Linked DNA regions of Cricetulus griseus. The protein of the gene in region 2 interacts with the protein of the main gene of each other region in a pairwise test. Links are inferred from orthologs where the notes say so. Each region holds a gene or a part of one and is shown on either strand. Other genes may lie near its edges.

Evidence for each region.
Region 1: the proteins of Tollip (region 2) and Tom1l2 interact in binary tests that used the Homo sapiens proteins (3 or more experiments, as listed by UniProt). The link is inferred for Cricetulus griseus from reciprocal best matches to the Homo sapiens genes TOLLIP and TOM1L2.
Region 3: the proteins of Tollip (region 2) and Tom1l1 interact in binary tests that used the Homo sapiens proteins (3 or more experiments, as listed by UniProt). The link is inferred for Cricetulus griseus from reciprocal best matches to the Homo sapiens genes TOLLIP and TOM1L1.

Annotation. Positions count from the first base shown.
Region 1 is NC_048600.1:74,480,262-74,484,620, forward strand, and holds the start of Tom1l2 (TOM1-like protein 2), read right to left. Parts: upstream 2,876-4,359; 5' UTR 2,783-2,875; coding exon 2,731-2,782; intron 1-2,730. UniProt on the Homo sapiens protein: Acts as a MYO6/Myosin VI adapter protein that targets myosin VI to endocytic structures. May also play a role in recruiting clathrin to endosomes. May regulate growth factor-induced mitogenic signaling.
Region 2 is NC_048596.1:59,283,289-59,287,630, forward strand, and holds the start of Tollip (toll-interacting protein), read left to right. Parts: upstream 1-1,494; 5' UTR 1,495-1,621; coding exon 1,622-1,654; intron 1,655-4,342. UniProt on the Homo sapiens protein: Component of the signaling pathway of IL-1 and Toll-like receptors. Inhibits cell activation by microbial products. Recruits IRAK1 to the IL-1 receptor complex. Inhibits IRAK1 phosphorylation and kinase activity.
Region 3 is NC_048600.1:103,766,771-103,770,374, forward strand, and holds part of Tom1l1 (TOM1-like protein 1), read right to left. Parts: intron 925-3,604; coding exon 791-924; intron 1-790. UniProt on the Homo sapiens protein: Probable adapter protein involved in signaling pathways. Interacts with the SH2 and SH3 domains of various signaling proteins when it is phosphorylated. May promote FYN activation, possibly by disrupting intramolecular SH3-dependent interactions.

The DNA.
Region 1 (4,359 bases), on a different chromosome or scaffold from region 2:
GAACTCCAGTTGCAGATGGTCATGAGCTGCCTGCCATGTGGACACTGGGAACTGAACTTGTGGCTTCTGCAAGTGCAAAACATGCTCTTAATAAGAACCATCTATCTAGCCCCTCAAGTGTCTTTCATAAGCAACAGTGGACCTAAGGCCTGGGAGGGTATTTTCCTCCCCAGGTCATAAACCAGTCCCATCGAATGGCCTCTTCTGATAGAAAACACAACCCAGACTTAATTATTATGATGTGAACACAAAGATGGCTCAAGTTACTGAGTCTCTACAATGTTCCAGATTAGATACCAATGGCTGGTAGGCATCATCCCCTTCAAACCGCAGCACTCTAAACACAAGTCTCTCCCCACCCTCCCCTAGTCTTTGCTCAGCAGGCAGTCACACTAGGGCTCAGGTTCTAAAGCCAAGGTCATTCAACCCAGGTCACATCTAACACATTTATTTATTTATTTATTTATTTATTTATTTATTTATTTATGGCCACTCAAATACCCCTATACCCCTTATTTCTTCTTTTGATATGCTGCCCTTTATACCTTCCTGGTTCCTTCCCCTAACTCTACAAAACCCTCAAGTTCACTGAGTTGAACTCAACACTAAATTGAGACATGAGTTTGGACAGCAGTGAAATAACACTTAAAAACAGGGACAAAACAAGATCCTAGCACCCTCACCAGCCAGATCACAAATGCCTGTAATTTTGCTCTCAGGGATCCAATGTCTTCCTTCACAGGCACACACAAACACATACATGTATGTATACACTCACACAGATACATGCACACATATACATAAATAAAACAAAATATTTTCAAAAAGAGAGGGGATTCTGGAGAAATGATTCAGTGGTTAAGAGCACTTGCTGCTCTTCCAGAGGACCCAGGTTTTATTCCTGGAACTCACACGGAAACTCAGAATGTCTTTAACTCCAGTTCCAGGGGATCCTACACCCTCTTCTGGCCTCTGCAGGCACAAGGCACACAAGTGGTGTCTAGACATACATGAAGACAAAACAAACACATAAAATTGAAAAAAAATAAAGTGATACTGGAGTGAGCATCAGAGAACAACGTGTCATAGAAGTGGGAAAAGACTTTCAGGTCCCAGTATCCATGATCATTTATAAAAGACACTGTACCAAGAAGAAACAAAATGTCCCTAAAATGCCATGCAACCAACACAAGAAGCCTCAGTAAGTTCACAGGCCCCTCTAAAGTTTGAAAAGTAGGCTATAAATTCATATGCAAAGCAGAAAATAAGCAGATCTTCACTGCCCGGACTAGTCTGACCCACAAGGACAGTACAGATCCCTGTTCATACAAGATACTGACCCACTTCTAATGTTTAATTTTTAAACATTTTATGTGTGGGTGTTCTGTTTGCCTGTATGTCTGTGCACCATTTACATGCCATGTATATAAAAGGGGTCAGAAGAGGCAACCAATCCCCTGGAACTGAAATTACACCCAGTTGTGAGCCACAATGCAGCTACTGGGAATTGAACCTGGATCAACAGCCAGTGCTCTTAACTAGTGAGCCAGCACTCTGGCACTGAAACATAGTTTTAAAAGACATTAATCAGCATTTTTGACTGATCCCTTGGCATAAGTTCCTGCCTTGGGTGAAAAGCCAAATTGCTTGTTTATTATTATTACTTGCAATGCTGGAGATCAAATCTAGGATTTTGTGTGTGCTTAGCTAGCTCTACCACTGAACTATGCCCCAGTCTGCACGTAGCTTTTTCAATAAGGAAACTTCACAGCGGCTGCTTTGCTTGTGCTTTTCCATATGTGGCATGCTGCCCATCTCTGGCTCCTTATAGTATTGACAGGTGACCTGAGTGCTGTACTACCAGCAAGATTTCAGTCTTGCCAATTTAATATAGTGGGGGAACAAGAGTCAATGTCAGGAACACTGACTATCAACAAGGAAGGTTAAAAACTTGATAACTTGGAAAGTCCCACTACATCTTATCCCTAAACACCTCGTGTGACAAACGAGAACGATGTCAAGGAGAGTCCCGAGCGAAGTCACTATTGGAGTCCAAGTTTCCGGGTTCCAGAGCAGTGTTTATCAACAAGCAGCACGTCCGGCCTCCCTTCTTTCCTAGGAGGCTCTGCAGACATGCCATCCCACTGCCGAGACAGTCACCTTACCGGAGCGCCTCCCCCATTCCAGTCCCTCCTACAGCCTGGCTGAGTTGCAGCTCAAATTAGAAGTCGTGCAGCATGGGACATTTGCTGGGAAGTTGCCCAGCCTCAGAGCCATTGGTACCATTGAGTAGGGACGGGGATGGAAGAAAGAAGTGACATTCCACAAAGACTCTGGGAGAAAGGTGCCCTGAGAGCAGATGCGGCGAGATGCCTGGAGAAGACTGCTCGCAGTGACATCTCCCAATACGCAAGGGTAGGCAGTCCAGCATGGGCACTGCTTCTAGGGAGAGACTTGGAAAGGTTGGGCCTTGATGGGTAGGGATGCAGGGTGCCTCTCAGAATCCAAGTTGCACCTCAGGGGAGCCTCCTGGCAGGGTGAGGTAGCACCAGCGTCAGGCAAAGGCCTCGTGACAAGGATGCCCGGTCCACCTTTGAGATGACACCACTTATTGGCAGAGGCCCAACCCGCACGTGAAGTGGTATCTGTGCCGGGAGGAGGCCCCGGACCTCACCAGCCCGGCCAGCCGCTCTGTGGCTCACTCGACGCCTGCCCCACGCGCGGCCTTACCAAGACACTGCCCTACAGGGGTGCTGAACGGATTCCCCAGCAGGAACTCCATCTCTGCAGGCCTCGTTCCGGCCCGGATGCCTGTATGCCGCGGGTCTCCACTGCCCGCGCCGCGCTCGCCCTGACTGACACTTGCCCCCGCCCCACCCTCGGGAACGCCGAGCGCCTGCCTGACCTCGCCCTCTGGGTGCATCCCTATTGGGCAGCGTCTACTCAGCCAGCCTCCGATTGGACGGCACGCCACTCTCAGTGAAGTCCCACCCACCCCGCAGCGTCCGATTGGGCACCAAGCAAGCTAAGTCATTGGGGTCCCCGTCAGCCTAGTGGCACAACCCCCCTGGACCCGCCTCCAAACGAGCGGCCCTTCATTTTGATTCATTACCCTGTTAGTCAGTCTAGAGAATCCTTACTATGATTGGATAAAAGGCGTGTCAATTATCCGAGTAAAGAAAGAGTAACTAGAAGTTGCGGTGCATTGACGGTGCTGATTGGTGAGAGGTTTGTTTTCTTCAAGGCTGGTTGGTGTTAGAAGCGTTTCGCCGCCCAGAAATGCGGTCACGTGACACATCAACTTTCACCCAGGATATTTATTGCTGGACTTCCCCTTAGCGACCGAGTGGCGGTGCTTGGTTACCTAGCAACCAAGCGACGCGTCCACTTGAAGGAGGGTCCTTAGGAAGGTAAGAAGCATGAGGTTAAACTCCAGAAAGACTCCAAGAGCAGAGGTTGATTCAAATCTGTCTTGAAACTCTTCTGTAAGGACTCCCAACCTGACCCTTTCTCATTTGTAAAATGAGCGCACACGTCATTTTACACTTGTTCTGAGATTACCAGGCCTTTGGAGAAGAAAATTGAGTATAGATCCCAAAGCCCGCAAAAGCTAGTAGGAACAGGATCCATCTGCCAGTTTCCTGGACTGATTAGTTTCATAGAAAGAGAGGTACCCTTTCCTCTTGATCTGCAATAAGTTACTTCATTTGGTGCTGTATGAAGCGCTTGGGAAGGGAATACAGATACTAGGGTTCCGTATCAGTCTCTATCAGTAATTCACTGTACGACCTCCCAGCCCCACCCCCCACCCCAGGCTGGGAAGTAAGAGCACTAAGGCACCCTTTTTAATAGCTCATAGAGCTGACATGTAACACTTAGTTACATAGCAAATACAGTGGCAAATACAGTGTTTCAGGTCCAGTTGACCCAGGTTGTTGTTTCTCAGGAAAGCCTGGATTTTTTCCGCAGTGGAGAGGCTACCTGGTTGATTTGTAAGTAAAGCTTTCCACTTCTTCTCCACATCCTACCTCTGGTCTTCACCAAGGACACCATCAGGCAAGTCAACCAGCACCCACTTGTATAAATTATTGATATAATCCCCACAGGGGAGGATTCCTTGGGCCTTGGCCTGAGAAGAACAGTTGGAAACATGAGCTGTGATAATGGTTGTTCCTAGTATGCTGTTACAATAGAGTCATGATTAGAAAATTGAGTTCTACTATAGACAAGAGGTAAATCTTTGGTGAATCTACATATTGGTCAATCTAGAAAAGCTTGATGTTACAAAGATCCCTACTCTGTGTTGTTGATGTTTTACTCCTTGGCTCTTTTACTCTTTGCTCTTTTGGGGGGGCACCA
Region 2 (4,342 bases):
TCAGTATTCACAACAGGTAGCTTTCAAGTTTCTGCAAAGTAACCTAGTCAAATTCTATCACAGCCCACATACACCAGAACTTCTGCTATCTACAGCAAATCTAGTAGAAACAAGGTTATGTACCATGTGACCACCACCAGAGAGCAAATGCTGTGATTCTGCTTTGACAGACTATGCCACTTGAACAGACTTTGGGGACTTACTGGGGAATTTTATGTGATAAAGTTTTTCCTCAGTAACAATTCTCCCTGGTTTTGTTGCTTGTTTTGTTTGTTTGTTTACCTCTTTAATATTGAGGGATTTGGGAATCCATTAAAGGGCATATGTGTGAACATCTCAAACCCAATCATTTTTAGCAGGTCTTAGTCACAAGAAGTTCCTAGTCTGCTGTCCAGATACAATCTTACACAACTTGCAGGATGCCCGGTGCATTTTTAGACACAATTCAGAGGTTTTGTCTATAACCAAGGGGAAAGGATTGTATAGGGATGTGAACCCCAGGAAGGGATCATGGGTCTCTTATAAATTGTCTGCCATATTGGGTGTCGAGTCTTATGTCCTGGTCTGCCTTAGCTTCATCAGCTGCAGACCAGTGAGAACTGGATAGACAGCTGCATCCAGGGACAGAGCCCAGATGCAGTCCCATGTGCTATCAAGGCAGAGACTGGTAATGGAGGTAGAAGATGAGGTCTTAGAGATGAAGGGAACACAATAGAACACAGTGTGAGTGAAGAAATGTACTAGGAGTACATTTGGTGCTGGGCAGTACCAAGTCTACTGCAGCACAAGCGAAAGAGATCTGCAGATCTGGGGCCACCACAGGATAAACTTAAAGGAACTACATTGAGTCTATCTGGCCAAAGGTCCTTCTGAAGAGAGCGCTCTGAAGAGGCAAGAGTGGGTGGCCTGGGTTTCCTAGGGACATCTCTTCCATTCATTTGGCAAATTCAAGGCTGGTGGAAGTGTTCCAGCCCACTCTTGCCTCTCCTTCAGCTTGGCTTCTTTTTTTAACATTTAAATATAAATGTTCTTCCTCCCACAGCATTTTGAAGTAATTCAAGGGCTTGAGGGTAACTGGTTTTACTGCCATCTGCTTTCTCCTCAAGCTGCCAAACATCAGTTTTCTCCTTTCTTCAAGCGGATCAGGCACCTTGCAGGTGGTGGTCTCCTAGCTATCTCCAGCCAGGTGACTGGACGTTGTGACGACTTGACGGAGTTGAGATAAACATCCATGTTTCGGGTGCCTGGTCCTGGGTCAACAGACTGGCTCACGCCGAGAAACACTCAGGTTTAGGCATGCGCAGACAGCCTGGCAGCCATTTTAAGGGCTTACCGTACTACAGGAGTGACCACCGCGCAGGCGTACACGGGAGACTTAACCCGCCCTCACCCCAGCCCTTTGCACGCATGCGCGGATTAGCCGGAAGGGGCGGGATTAGCCATTGCGAAGCGGCTGCGCCTTGGGAATGCCGGGGTGGGGCGGGGCGGGGTGACTGTCAGCTGACTGAGGCGCAGATTGCCTCGCGGGACAACGGTCGGCGACGCAGGTTGAGGTGGGGGCGGAAGAACTCTCCCGGCGGGTCTCTGTGCGGTCGGTGAGGCACAGGGTCGCCGTAACATCATGGCGACCACCGTCAGCACGCAGCGCGGGCCGGTGAGTCCACTGGGCGAGGGCCGGACTGGGGCAACGCAGCCTGAGATCGGGCTCCTCTTGTCAGCCCCTCGTGGGGCCCCTCGCGAGTTGCTCGGCCGTCCCGGAGCTGTGCGGGTCCCACCTTCGGGTACCCAAACGGAGTAGCGACTCTGGTCCTGAGGGTCTCGCGGGTGGAAGAAGGCAGAGCTTGATGGTTCTTTGGATGCCCACGGGCCCTGAAACCCCTGAATCCCTAGAGGGGCCCTGAATCCCTTAGTCCTCCACACAGAGGAACGTGACCCCATTGGTTCCCCATACTGAGAGGGACCCCGACTCCCCTTAGTTCCCCGGGTGGAAAAAGGGTCCCGAACCCCTTACTTCCCCAGATGTATACCAACCCCTTGGTCTCTCAGATGGACATGGGCCCTGACGCTTGGTTCCCCAAATGGAGAGTGGTCCTGACCCTGTTAATTTCCCAAACTGATAGTCTTGGCTCCCATGATCTCTCAGAGGAGTGGGGCCTGACACTCCTCTGATGTTTCAGAGATGGTGAAAGATCCCACTTTGTAATCAGCTCTTAGTTGTGTCAGTTTCTTCCTCTCCCTGCTCCTATAGAGAACAGGGTTGCTACCTCTTGAGCCCGGTTAGTGGCTACCTTTCCAAGTCTCAGTTGTTCATCTATAAATGAGGAGAAGGGAGCAGAAAACGTGGAAAACCAACAGTGATGGCTCCTAAGGGTTGTCTTGGGGTCCACAACACTACCTGTCTCTCCTACCTCTAGTGTGGATGTCCTCCCAGTAGTTCTCTGAGACTGATATGAGTTGGATGTTGTTAGCTAACAGTGGTTATGTGTGTAGAACACAGTTCTGATGGCTCCATTGTCTTTTCCCTGAAGTTATTGAAAGTGTCTGCAAAGCCTTTGGTTTCCCAGGTCCCTCACCCTGACAGCTTGGTGTTGACAGGTGTGTGTGTGTGTGTGTGTGTGTGTGTGTGTGTGTGTGTGTGTGTGTAACAGATAAATCATTGGGGTAGATGACTGATTTTCTGACTTTGAAGAAAGCCCCAGGCAGGGTGCTTTTTTGGAGGGCTTTAAAGCCAGACTTCCTGACCAGAGTTGGGGTTACCTTCATGTTCAGCAACCCTTCTTCATCCTCACTGTGTCTCACCAAACTACAGAAGATTGCTAGTGGCTGACAGAAGAGGAAGGGAGCCAGTACTTTGCTCTTTTCCTATCTCCTGCCAAGTGGACACAGGGCCAGGCAGAGTGGACCGTTCCTTACTGTGTGTCTGAGAGTGCCTTTACTTCTGTGGCTGGACTGCATTTGAATTCATCTGATGGTGAGCTTAATGTCCGTCATTAATTGAGTAAGAAGGTGTCCTCCCGTGTTGCTGAGGGAAACTCTGGTGCTGTGTGTATAGAGCTGGGGTAACCCACGCTGTGATGAGTAATTGGGAGTGTCGGGTGACATTCATACTAGCGCAATCTGTGGAGTCAAGTCCTGACGCTTGATCTTTCTACTTGCCCAGTGTTCTAGGGACCACAGAGTCTTATAAATAAACATAGACAGCTGAATGGTTTTTTAGGAGCACTCTTGATGACTTGTAATATTGTGTCTGGACTCTAAGAAATTGTCATCAGTGACAGATATCTTAGACTTTGCTTGGGATGTATTATTGGCCACAGTATTTAGAGCAATTGGACACTGAGTCAAAAGTGTGGAGCACAGGGACACAGCTATGCATGGTGACCCATATAAAGCCAGAAAATAACAGTCACCATCAGGTCTGTGCTCTTAATCATTGAAAACAGAAAGGTATGGACTTGGTGTGGGAGGAGTGAATGGGTTATGGCCAGGGTCTCTTAAAGACTAGAAGATCTTGAACTTGATCTGGTAAGTGCTGTTTCTTAGAGTGCATGCCTTTTACAGTTTTCAGCTTTTCACTGGCTGCTTCACCTAGAATGATCTACCTATATGCCTCTGGATTCATTAATATTTGCAAAGGTTTTTTTAGCCAGTTGTCAGGGTCTAGTAGAACTGTCAAGAGTGTGGTAGTTCTTCCCTACTATTCATGTCATACTCAGGGTTGTGGAGCTGTAAAGATAAACAGAAGTACACATTTGGTCAGTACTGGGTACTATTGGCAGCCTTCTTTTTGTAACCGCAGCAGGGGGTTAGGCTATGGTTCAGAGTCCCCTTCCCAGGAGCCTGGACTAGGCTTGGGCAGTTGTCTCTATAGCTGACCTTCACCTCTGATGAGTGGGGAAGGACTGACAGTGTCTTGGGAGGCTATAGAAGGCTGAGGACACTCTCATCTGGGCTAGGAGGGTTCTCTATTCTTGGTTGAGGGTTTGGGATGGGGCAAGTATGAGGAGGAGAGCCAGAACCCACATAATTGTGAAGGAATAAGTTTTTCCCTGGGACATTTGGTATTTTACGTTTTTTTTTTGTGTTTTGTTTTTTTTGTTTTGTTTTGTTTTGTTTTGTTTAATAGCCACTATAGGGCACTACAATCTTTCATAGCCATCTCACTTTTGAAAATACTGGTATTTTGAAATTACCCCTTTTGCTACCCAGTCTGCACACCTGCTCCTTTCCTACAGTAGTGGTTTTTTTTTTTTTTTTTTTTTTGCGGGGGGTGGGGTGGGGGGGTGGGGGGGTCCGAGACAGGGTTTCTCTGTAGCTTTAGAGCATGTCCTGGAACTCGATC
Region 3 (3,604 bases), on a different chromosome or scaffold from region 2:
GTGAGACTGTAAAGGAGAAAGGAACCACCACAGTACAGCTGCTGGCTTTCTCTTCCTGATTCTCTTGCCTCAGTGTTGGCACGGGGGAGAAAAAGAGTGAAAACCTTTGTGATTTTTAAAGTCTAAATGGAACATGAATGAGGATGGAAAAATGGTGATTCAGTGTGGGAAATATCAGGAGTATAATTCAGTGATAGAGCACTAGACTACCAGGACAGAGTCCCAAGTTCAATCCTAGCATCACACACAAAAATGTAATGAGTGTCAATATGCCACTGTGTTATTTGTTTGTAATATGCATTATCTCATTTACCCCTGAAAAATAAAATCAGCCCCTCCAAAGATAGAATTTTTGTGTTTTTTGTTTTGTTTTATGGGTTTTTTTGGGGGGGAAGGCTTCAGAATGTTAGGCAACTTATCTATTTTATTTCACATCATCTAGATTTGAGTTTAGGCCTGCTCACCTCTTTCTTATGCCACTCACCTCATTCTTCATTTGCTGGTTAGAAATGTAGCCACTGTACAATGAAATAGCCCTAGTAATTCTCAACAGTAACAGTACCTTCCCAAGGCTGTCTGTTGAGTCACCTCAACTCAGAGGAGCATCTCTGGCATTTGGGGGAGGAGCAGTGGCCACACAAAAGAACACTAGTCTATTCACCATGCCACTCCTATTGAGAAAAAAAGATCTAGAAAGACTATTCTCTTGTGGGTTCTCCAGACGGAATGAGGGCCCTATGGTGGTGAAACTACATTGAGAAGAGGGTGAAAGGGCACATTGTCTGCTCACCTCTCATATCCAAGGATGGCATTATTCAGATCCTCATTCACTTGAATTAGCTCAACAGTTACGTCTTCATTTTCCACTACCACCAGCAGGTCCATGATCCTCTCCTGCATCTCCCGACCAGTCTTGTAAAGTTTCTGTCAGAAAAAAGGAGGTTTCTTTTTCCATACTATGGATGCTCTTTATAAAAACAACTGACACTACATGCACCTGTGGTTGTCATGGGAATTCTGTCACCGATCTGCTTGTGAATTAAGAGGTGATGTTTGGTCCAAGAGGCTGGGTTCTCATTGGGAATGGACTTATCCTAGGTACGGGTGGCCCCACCCCTTTTTGGAGCAAGGAGCAAGTGGAGGCCAGTAGCTTGCAACTCTGTTCAGGTTCCCCATTTATTCTTTAATATTTGTGCACAGATCTTACACTTTAATAAATGATAAAAATAATTCTTTAACATGTGGTCACTTCCGTGCTGTCATCCAGCGACCATCAAGTTTTTCAAATGTGGACAGTTCATCCTGCCCGTCAGAGGGCAGTGAAAGGAGATGGATAATTTTTCTCTAAAACAACAATGTGGTACCCTGAAATGCTGTATGGAAATTCTAGAAGCCCAGCTTAATAACTGAGCTATTTGGGGGAAAAAAAAATCACTTGTTTTATAAATTTTAGTTTTCTCATTATAAATGAAAAATAACCACTTGTCACATTTACCTCCAGAGCGGGTGTGAAAATCAAATGAGATGCTGAGACCGGGAGCTTTGTAACTACAAAGCATAAACATGAAATGTTGTTGTCATTATTAGTGATGGTGGAAGTAGTTAAGAAGCATTTACAGCACGGGGGCATAATTTTACTTCCTGTTACATGTACTTAAGCCTTTAAAGTTTATGGCTACATCACATTCAATATAAACTGAACCAGGATTTAAAAACTCATCATGGATAATGACCTTATTTGGACTACTTAAAATCACTGCCTTGAGCTAAGACATTACCCCACAGCTAGCTTTTTCTCATAAGTATCAGAGCCATCAATAGAACACTTAACCGCCTCAGCAGCCCCAAGAATTAGTCTGGGGAATCTACATTTTTCTTAACAAGCACCGCCAAAGTGTTTCTTAAGTATCCTGACATTTGAAATCTGCTGCCTTGCAACTGACTTCCTTCTAGCAAAGCTCCAATAAACCCAAGGTGCATAGGCTGATATTAGCATCTTCTCCATCCATCTTGGCTGCATTCTCCCGTGCATTAGCACAGCAGCAGGCAAAGATGCAGGGCTATCTCTGCTCTCACAGCAAGAGCATGAGAACTTGCTTACACCTCACGTAATTACACAATCTGACTTCTCAAGAAAGTTGCTCCCCCCAAAAAATATGTATGCTTCATTAAACCGTTTAGAATCTCAAATAGTCTATTACAAGACTGCTGATAGGAAATCCAGATATAAATAAGTTACACTATTACTAACTGGCATTTAGACTCCTATGTAGCAGTTATCACCTCTGCAAAAACATACAAATTTTTTAAGATAAAATGAAATAAAAAGGAAAGGTGAGGGGCTGGAGGGAGGGGGTAACAGGTAGGTGGTAGATGAATTATTCCCACAATGTCAAGCCAGATAAATTGTCTTATTTGTTAATGATCTGATTGCTGTTCATGTGCAGTACAGGGGCTCAATTTGTTTTTAAAGCCCCAGATCTGAAATATTTTATGCTTTTAAGGCCATCTAGTGTGAGGCAACTTACTCAGCTCTGCACTGTAATATGAAAAGAAGCCAGGAAAGGAAGTCCCAAAGTAGGTGTGGCTGGTGGTAAGACAGGCAAAGAGATAAGACTTTGGACTCACTAGGCCAAAGGAAATGATGTGTTTGAAGACCTACAAAGCCTAGTATACAGCAGGGTGTCAATAAATACATTACCATTGCTTGAAGAGGGGTCACTAAGAGATTCCCTAGATAATGAATATGATCTGTAACACTTACACTATTGCTTAGGACCCAATATCACCAAAATAAGACTCCATAGCATCTAGTAGACCTCCCTCTCCCCCAATAATGAATGAGAGATATTCTTTTATTCTTTCTTCTGATGGTGCAGAAAATTTTCCTCTTGTTGCTCACAGGAAGCCTTGCTAGCATAAGGTCAAAAATCAAGCAATGCAATGGTGCTAGATGCCCAAGACAAAAAATGTAGACATTAATTGAAATGAATTTGCAGCCAGCATCAACAGCCCCAGTCATGTGAAGACCCTCCCTTTGCCCTTTGGAGAGACAGATGGAGAGGAAACATGAAAGGAACACCACATCTCAGCGGGCTTACAAAGCAGAATGTGAAAAAACTCTTCAAAAGCCAGCCCACTCTGATCTTTGCAATTGATGTCTGTCTCAGAGGACCGCCATGCCACCTGCAAACAGCATAGATCAAGCACTGAAGACAAAAAAAAAGTGTGTCTGGTGGGGGAGGGAGGGCGCAGAGTGCTGCACACAGACACTTGTGGAGCTCCGGATGCAGGATGCAGGGAGTGGAAAGAGAGCGACAGGAGTTAGTGGATGTGTCCATCACAGACCCGGGAATTGTCTCTCTATTGTAGACGGGCTTCTAAGCTACAGTGAAGTTTAACAATTCCAAAGACTCTGAAGCACAACAAAGAGGCTCATTAAGAGCTTTCTTTTACCCAACTGGCTCTTGTATTTCCACGGGACACTTAGGAATTACGAAAAGAGATCCCTTTTCAGGTTCAGCACCAACTACAGCCAGCCCACATTCACCAACAAGGAATATGCTAAAATGAACAAACAGACGAAAATACACAACAACAAAAC